2 linked regions of the Callithrix jacchus genome follow. The protein of the gene in region 2 purifies or fractionates together with the protein of the main gene of each other region. This does not show direct contact. Links are inferred from orthologs where the notes say so. Each region holds a gene or a part of one and is shown on either strand. Other genes may lie near its edges.

Region 1 (3,648 bases), on a different chromosome or scaffold from region 2:
GCCATACTTTGTTAAAGCCTCTCTGAGCTTCTCGCCATTCTTCCTCTTTCATCTTCAACCTAGTGAAGTGGGAAGGGATGGAAACAACATATGGGAATTCAGAGGGTTTAGAACAAAGAAATCTGCCAGGTTTACTTTATTTCAAGAAAAGTTAAAGCTATATTAGGTCTGTCAAAATTATTGGCAACTTAGGATGAATGTTATCAAATCTGTCTTGAACTCTGTTTCATGAGGAAATTACTCATCCAAGACTTATTTTGGGGAAATGATTTATCTCAGTCAAATAATTTCCCTAGAACAGTTACTTATCAAACAGCATTCCAAGGAATACCTTTGAGATTTAAGGAAGTCTTCCTTGAAAAAAACAGTTCTCTTCTTTTGCCAGCAAAAATAAAGTTAAACATGTTTCTTTGCTGCAGGATTTTGCAAAATGTTCACAATGCTAATGAAGACATAGAAGTCCAAGAGCAGAGAACGTGCACAGTAATGTTCCTCTGGATACAGTCTGGAAAGTTCTGACCAGAACTGATTTTAATAACCCAGAAGACAACAGACTAAGACCAAAAAAACAGCACTAAAATGGAAGAATAATCAACATCTCAAAAGCCAGAGTTAAATGTTACAGGCAAAAAGAAACCATCAATCTGTGCCAGCTCTTGAGGGAAAGATGAAGGACAAATAAAATCTGGGTATTTGTCAACAATGCAGCAAACAAGAATTAATTTTTACCAGATGATACTTAGAGAGAACCAAGCTCACAGCAAAGGATTCAGTGTGGTCAAGAATGACATAGGGCTGGGCATACTGTGGCCTGTGCTATAATCCCAGCACTTTGGGGAGGCCAAAGCAGGAGGATTGCTCGAGCCCAGGAGTTAGAGGTCAGCCTGGGAAACATAGCAAGACCCTGTCTGTATTTAACAAAATTAACAATTAGCTGGGTATGTGGTGGCGCAGGCCTGTAGTCCCAGATCCCTCCTACCCTGAGGTAGGAGGATCACTTGAGCCTGGGAAGTCAAGGCTGCAGTGAGCTGTGTTCACACCACTGCATTCCAGCCTGGGTCAAAAAGTGGAGACCTTGTCTCAAAAAAAAAAAAAAAAATTAATTAAAAATAAAAAAGATTTTAAGTTAATCCTGAGTGGCAGGAACATGGGTGGCAATTATCTTTTCTTTTCTGTATTTTAAAATACTCCCTCAAACATATACACAGAGCCTTCCACCATGAACCTACAAGATTTGTTCTCTAACGTTGGTCACAAAGAACCCCCAAAAGAAGTTCCACTCTGCATGTAAATTCCAACAACCAGGGCTGGGGAGAAAGAGCGGTCTCATGGGACAACCAGGTTGAAAACAAGAGCCTTATTTAGTGGGACACTGACACAGTAGTGAAGTACACTAAAGCACCGAGGGCACATTTGCTCAGGTACCTTTTAAGGACAATTGGGACAGCGATGGAAGGATTCTTTCTCAGACCATCAATGATGTCAGCTGCTTTATCAGCATATATCCTCTGGAGTGCTTTTCTATGGATGACTTCTGATGTGCCCCCAAGGGTGTTGTCCAAGCGAAATTTGGCTTGTTCCTCAGCAGACAAGCGGGAAAGCTTCTTCTGTATTGCTTCCAGAACCCGGATTGTTGCCAGATTGGTTTCTAAAACTACATCAAGCTGAAGAGGAAGACAAAGGTATGCTTAGGACCCAAATCAGAATAGAATATAGTGGTTAGACGAATAAGGTAGGGAGTTGAACTCCTTGGATTTGAATCCTGGTTCTGCCTTACTAGCTGCATAAGGCTGTTTCCTTACCAGTAAAATAGGGATAACAGCACCTATTACTCTAATAAGCTTCTTTTTGGATTAAATGATATAATCTACATAAAGTATTTAGCACAATGCATGGCACTTTAAGAACCATAGGACTGAGTCAGTAGTCTACAAAGCAGAAAAAAAAAAGAACCATAGGATTAAGTTGGATACATGGTAGTTATTACCTCCATCACCACCAGTGTGTGCCTTGCTTAGGACTACTGATCTTGCACCAGAGGAACCTAACAGGAGATGACTTTACTGATACGTTTCTCTGAACTTTCCTGAATTGCTAAGATCCATTATGAACAAACATCATCAAAACAATCCCAAAAGACCTCTGTCTTGAGAGTTTTTAGGTTTAACTTGAAATATTTAAATATATTCAAATACTTAAATATTCAATAGCCTTGTTCTGCATCCAGTAATAGTAAAAGCAGTGACTATCATACCCTAAGGAGTTTGCTGTTGCATCTGTGGGTAATCATTTAAATTCTTATTGAACTCCTGGCAACCTTTGATTCTAGTTTTTCCCTAGCATAAAATAAGGTTCTTTAAATGAGAAACAGAAAATGAAGTAAATGGGCCAGGTGCGGTGGCTCACGTCTGTAATCCGAGTACTTTGGGAGGCCAAGGTTGGTGGATTATGAGGTTAGGAGATTAAGACGATCCTGGCCAACATGGTAAAACCCATCTCAAAATACAAAAATTAGTTGGGCATGGTGGCGCGTGCCTGTAAATCCAGCTACTCGGGAGGCTGAGGCAGGAGAATCACTTGAACCTGGGAGGCAGAGGCGACAGTGAGCTGAGATCACACCACTGCACTCCAGCCTGGTGACAGAGCTAGACTCCGTATCAAAGAAGAAGAAAAAAAAGAAGTAAATGAGCAGTCTCAAGAACCTACAGCCAAATGTTTGCAGAATTGTTCCCTACGTTTTCTTGTTTTGAGACTCTGGTAGTCATTTTGTCAATAGTTCTGGCCCCTCTTGCTCTCCAAATACAGACAAAAAGGGACTAAATTTCCTGGCTCCCTTATGAATGAATAGGGTCATGTAACTAGTTCTGGCAAATGATTTGTTATGAGTTGAGTAAAAGTAATGTTTATTACTTCTAGGCTGGAGCATTTAAAGGTAAGAGATCTTTCTGGGCTTTCTTTTCCTTCTAGTAACTGGCAACATTCATGATGGTGGCAATCCCTTGGCCTGGGTCCCCTGTGATTCAGACACGCCAAATCCCCTGCTAAACACCAACGTACACGTAGAATGATTAGAAATTAAACCCAATGGTTTTACAAGTCACTCAAATGTGGGAATTGTCTGTACTGAAGCATTACTAACCTATTTATGATTGGTAAAGCATGTTCCTTCAAACTAGCCCACCCCATCAAATCTTAAACACATGGACACCCCACACTTCTTTCATCTTTGCCCTTGTAGTCACAAATGAGAAATGAGGCTGCCTCTCATTTGCAGGCATACCAGTTGAGAAAGGATGGGAACATTCTGTCAAAAACAGATGCCAAGCTCTCCTAACTCATCAGCTAACCCTACTAAATATAAATAACAAAGAAATGTCTTCTTTAGTTTGGTAATACTCCTATGGAAGTTAAAATCTGTCATGATTTAGTTTTCTGCAAATAGCTGCAACTCCTTATAAATGCTGGGGCAAAGATGGCCAACCACCTGCCAGTGGTGAGGCAGCATGTGGCTGTTCATTAAAAACACACCAGAAACAGCTGAAGCAAGTGTGACAAGGGAAAACTGGCAAAGAGCTAAGAGTATTAAAAAAAAAAAAAAAAAACACTAGCAAGATACCTGTCCACACAAATAAGCACAGCCAGTCAATT
Region 2 (4,277 bases):
GTTTGCGTGCAGAACCTAGCCATTGTAAGAGCAGTTTTATACAAAATTAGCTCATTATGATTATTATTATTTTAGAGACGGAGTCTTGCTCTGTCGCCCAGGCTGGAGTGCAGTAGTGTGATCTCAGCTCACTGCAACCCCTGCCTCCCGGGTTCAAGCAATTCTCCTGCCTCAGCCTCCCTGTAGCCGGGACTACAGGCACACACCACCACGCCTGGCCCTCTTTTTTTTGTATTTTAGTAGAGACGGGATTTCAGCACATTGCCCAGGCTGGTTTTGAACTCCTGAACTCAGGCAATCCACCTGCCTCAGCCTACCAGTGATAGGGTAACAGGTGTGAGCCACTGCGTCCGGCCAAAAATTATTTTTATAACTTGTTACAAAATCCTCTTTTTAGGTTAGAGTTTAATTTAATATTCTTTAACTTATATGTCCACAACACCCAATTTTAATACACTTTTTTTTTGTTTCTTTGGGAGACAGGGTCTCTCGCTCTCACTACAGCCTTGAACTCCTGGGCTCAAGCTAACCTTCCAAAGCGCTAGGATTACAGGAGTAAGCCACTGTGCCTGGCTCCGTATTTAATACACTTTAAAAGTACATGGTCAAGTTCCTACTAGAAAAGTGCAAGTGAATGAGAAATCTAATGCAGGGACCAGCTGTGTGATCCTGGGATAGCACTTAAACGCTCAGTCCCAGTTCCCTTATTAGTAAAACAAAGATGATGAAAAGTACCTAGAGCACAGTACTATTATGAGAATTACAATAGGATGTAGACTCTTCAGATGTGCCAGGCCCTGTTCTGAGTGCTCAATAAATGCCAGCAATTATTACCAGAGAAACTGTAGATCTAACAGAAAAGAATACTCTTATGAAGACTAACAGCAATCTCAAAGTGGATTCCATATTAGAAGCTGATTAACACCTTTTTTTTTCAAATTGCACTTTAGGTTCTTGGGTATATGCGCAGATCATGCAGGATTGTTGCATAGGTACATACATGGCAAGGTGGTTTGCTGCCTCCGTCCCTTGTCACCGATATCTGGCATTTCTCCCCATGTTATCCCTCCCCATCACCTCCCCCGCAACAGACCCCAGTGTGTGGTGCTCCCCTCCCCGTGTTCGTCATTGTTCAATACCCGCCTATGAGTGAAAACATGCGGCGATAATACCCATTCTTTGGTCAATTGTTGACAAGGTCTTTTCCCCTTTACCAATTAAAATGTATTTATCTTGGGTGCCTCTTACGTGTTCACTTTGTAAAAATTTATCAAGCCATACACTTAACAATGTGTGAACTTTTCTGTATATGTTCTATTTTTCAATGAAGTTTTAAAGACATGTAGTAGTTTGGGCCCAGAGAGATGCTGCTCTACATTCAAGCCCAGGCAATGTCAAATACATTCAGTATTTCCTCCAAACACTATTAATCTCACAACAGATTCTTTCTCCCCTTTTAACGCCACAGTATATGCCAGAAATCATCCCACAAATCACGTAAGTTTTGAAAATAAAAACCACCTGCTACCTCATGCAAGGGCTGATTACATACTTATGTTCTATGTATAAAACGTCAAAACTAGGAAATTCAGAACTACAGTTAAATTTAAGCAAAATAAAAGTTGCCAGAAACCCTTACTTAGTCACTTCAGGAAGCCACTGAACTGTAAGACTGGGCCACTGAAGAGCATGGGTCATAACCAGGTCATATAGAAACGGTGTATTCTTCTTCCAGATTTTATATTCTTCATTGATGACACGCTCCTCCACAGTATCTTCAAACACTGAAATTTGGAGAAAGCCCACACGATTAAGTGCCTGAGATGGACTGAAGTCAGAAATTGGAGGTCATCTCAAGATGGCCACACCTCATGTACGCTTTCTTTTTACCTCTAATTTGGACACGGACAACTAACCGCTCTTCCAGGAGGCGGAGAGAATACTAACACAACCAGGAAGCGTATTTTTTTTAGTTGAGATCAATACCTCCTGCGTATACCATGTTGGGTAGTCAATTACGCGGACATGGAAATTGTTTACCCTACTACAGCTGTTCGCACCTGTTCTAAGATGACGACTTATATGTACAGGGGCTGCGCGACCCACTGGGTGAGACAAATGTACATGTAGCAGAAGCCCACAGGCCCAGTCCCTTCATTCCCCATCAGGGGAGGCCCCAGGTCCTGACGGCCGCCATAGGCCGGAGGGCTCCAGCAACCCCCGGACAAGGGCCGCGACCCCGAGGCGATCGACGCGCGCGCCTGTAAAGAGCCGCGGTGTTCGCTTCCAGGCAGCGGCGACCGCCTCCGCCACGGGGCCTAGGGCGCCGGAGGGAGCGAAGCCGCTGGAGGGAGGGAGGGGAGGAGGGGGGCCCAGCCCTCGGCCCCGCGCCCGGTTCCGGAAGTGCTCGGAGCCCTCGGCTCGGCGGTCCCGTCCCGCGCAGGCCCCACGAGGCGCGCGCCCAGCCTCGCGCCCGGCCCCGCCCCCTGCTCCGCACGCCAATTCGCGCCTTTCGCCGGCGCGTGCCGCGGCCTCGCAGGCCCGCCGCCCCCCGCGGCCCCGGCGCGCGCCGCCCCGCAGGGCCTCTTACTCTCTTTACTCGCCATCTTGCGTCGGGTCGTTCGCCCCTCGCCGCCGCCTCGGACTCCCCTCGTTAGCCAAGAGCAGCCCGACCGCTGGCGCTCCTGCCTTTCCCAAGCGCGTCACGCACTTCCCGCTCACGAAAGCCCGGGCCCAGTCTTGCGGCCTGGGTGCTCCCCAGACGCCGCGTTCTTCTTTCCTGCCTCCTCCCCGCTCGCGGGTACCGAGGTCTGAAGCGCTCTTCTCTCTCTCTCCAAACTTGGAACGAGACTTTTCAACCCGCGCCTCCCAGCCCGCCCAGGCAGCTGAGCGCAGGCGCATCCGCCCTGGGAAAAGTGAGAGGAGGCGGAGAGGCGGGTCTGGGAGCCAACGGCTCTGGCGCCGCGACCAATGAAGTGCGGCGGGCGGGTTTCACGCGGCGTTCGGAGGCGGGCTTCTGGGGGTGGGCGGGGCGTGTCACGGCAGGAAGTTGGCGATGCGCAGGCGCGAGGGCTCGCCCGGCGCTCCCAGGGCCGGCCGCGGGGGCGGATGGGGGCGTGCGGGGGCGGGGCGAATGGAGGCGCGGCTGGTCGGCTCCGCGGGGGCAGCGCGCCCGGGGGCGGCGAGCCTTGGGGCCCGCGGGGCGTGGTTGCTTGTAGCGGCAGCGGTGGTGGGGGCGAGAGGGGGCAGGGAGGCTGCCGCCGCTTAGCCAAGCAAAATCTCAGAGCAAGAGGGGAAAATGGTTCCTGTTCTCGAGAGATTACTGTGCCTTCAATGTCTCCCTGATAATCACGCACATGCAATTCTCTGCACCCCTGATGTTCTCCTCCCGCCCACTGGCCTTTCCTGGGGCCGGGTCGGGCCGAAGTGGGGCTGGTCTCAGATGGAGGAGACCTTTTGGAGAGGCCGCGGGCGTTTTCTGCCTGCAAAAGCCGCCTGGCCGCCCTGTTAGGCTAAATGTGAAGCGTGTGGCGGCACAGGCGGCCGGCGGGCTGAACCCGATTTACAATAAATTACATTTTAATTTGTTGGATATGTGGGTCCTTAAGATGACGGTTTGCGGCCTCTTCGTGCTTCAGGGGATTTTGTTACTGCACTGGCATTCCTTTCTCATCCCAGTCCCGGCCCCTGCTGAGTCATTTTTGTCACCTGTAGGGGTCCCAGAGCAACCCCACCCCAAGCTGGCGGAGCTGGGGAGAGCTGGGCTGAACTGCCCTGGGCCTGCTTACCTGAGCCCTGCTCTGCCAGGGAACTTCGCAGCCCCTGAGGAGGCGGGGGGTGGGGAAGGAGAAAGCTTGCTGAAAGGCCAAAAGGGGAATGGAGAGAGAAAAATGAGGGCCTGGAGCAGAGGGGACGGAGTTGGGGGAGGCGACCAAGGTGCCTGCGTGCAAAGGGAACCGAAGTGTACGTCCAGCTCCAAGAGAGGCTCCTCTTGCAAAAGCACCCCCGGAACATTTGCTGCCTTGATACCTTTCCAAGTGCCTTCATGCTCAGATGCTATCTTGCAGATGCTGTTGTCCTGCCCACTTTTCTGACCGGGACGCAAATTCAGACGTTAGTCAGTGGCAGAACCAGTCACATTCCCTTCTGTAGATATTTATCGTCTTGTTTTCGATACAATACAATTCATTATTACAGCGCTCTCCATCCAGGCGGGGTCCAGGAATCCTGTTAGTGCCTAAGGCAGAGTGGGTGGCTGGAGAGGGAGAGTTGGAAGG

The links. Proteins that work in one complex are often made in the same cells at the same time.
Region 1: the proteins of RBBP7 (region 2) and SIN3A purify together in Homo sapiens (affinity purification with mass spectrometry; 8 studies listed by BioGRID and IntAct, counting the BioPlex papers as one, with this or other methods). This does not show direct contact. The link is inferred for Callithrix jacchus from reciprocal best matches to the Homo sapiens genes RBBP7 and SIN3A.

The regions. Positions count from the first base shown.
Region 1 is NC_133509.1:22,463,530-22,467,177, reverse strand, and holds part of SIN3A (paired amphipathic helix protein Sin3a), read right to left. Parts: intron 1,665-3,648; coding exon 1,426-1,664; intron 60-1,425; coding exon 1-59. UniProt on the Homo sapiens protein: Acts as a transcriptional repressor. Corepressor for REST. Interacts with MXI1 to repress MYC responsive genes and antagonize MYC oncogenic activities. Also interacts with MXD1-MAX heterodimers to repress transcription by tethering SIN3A to DNA.
Region 2 is NC_133524.1:17,126,374-17,130,650, forward strand, and holds the start of RBBP7 (histone-binding protein RBBP7), read right to left. Parts: upstream 2,829-4,277; 5' UTR 2,607-2,828; coding exon 2,591-2,606; intron 1,785-2,590; coding exon 1,640-1,784; intron 1-1,639. UniProt on the Homo sapiens protein: Core histone-binding subunit that may target chromatin remodeling factors, histone acetyltransferases and histone deacetylases to their histone substrates in a manner that is regulated by nucleosomal DNA.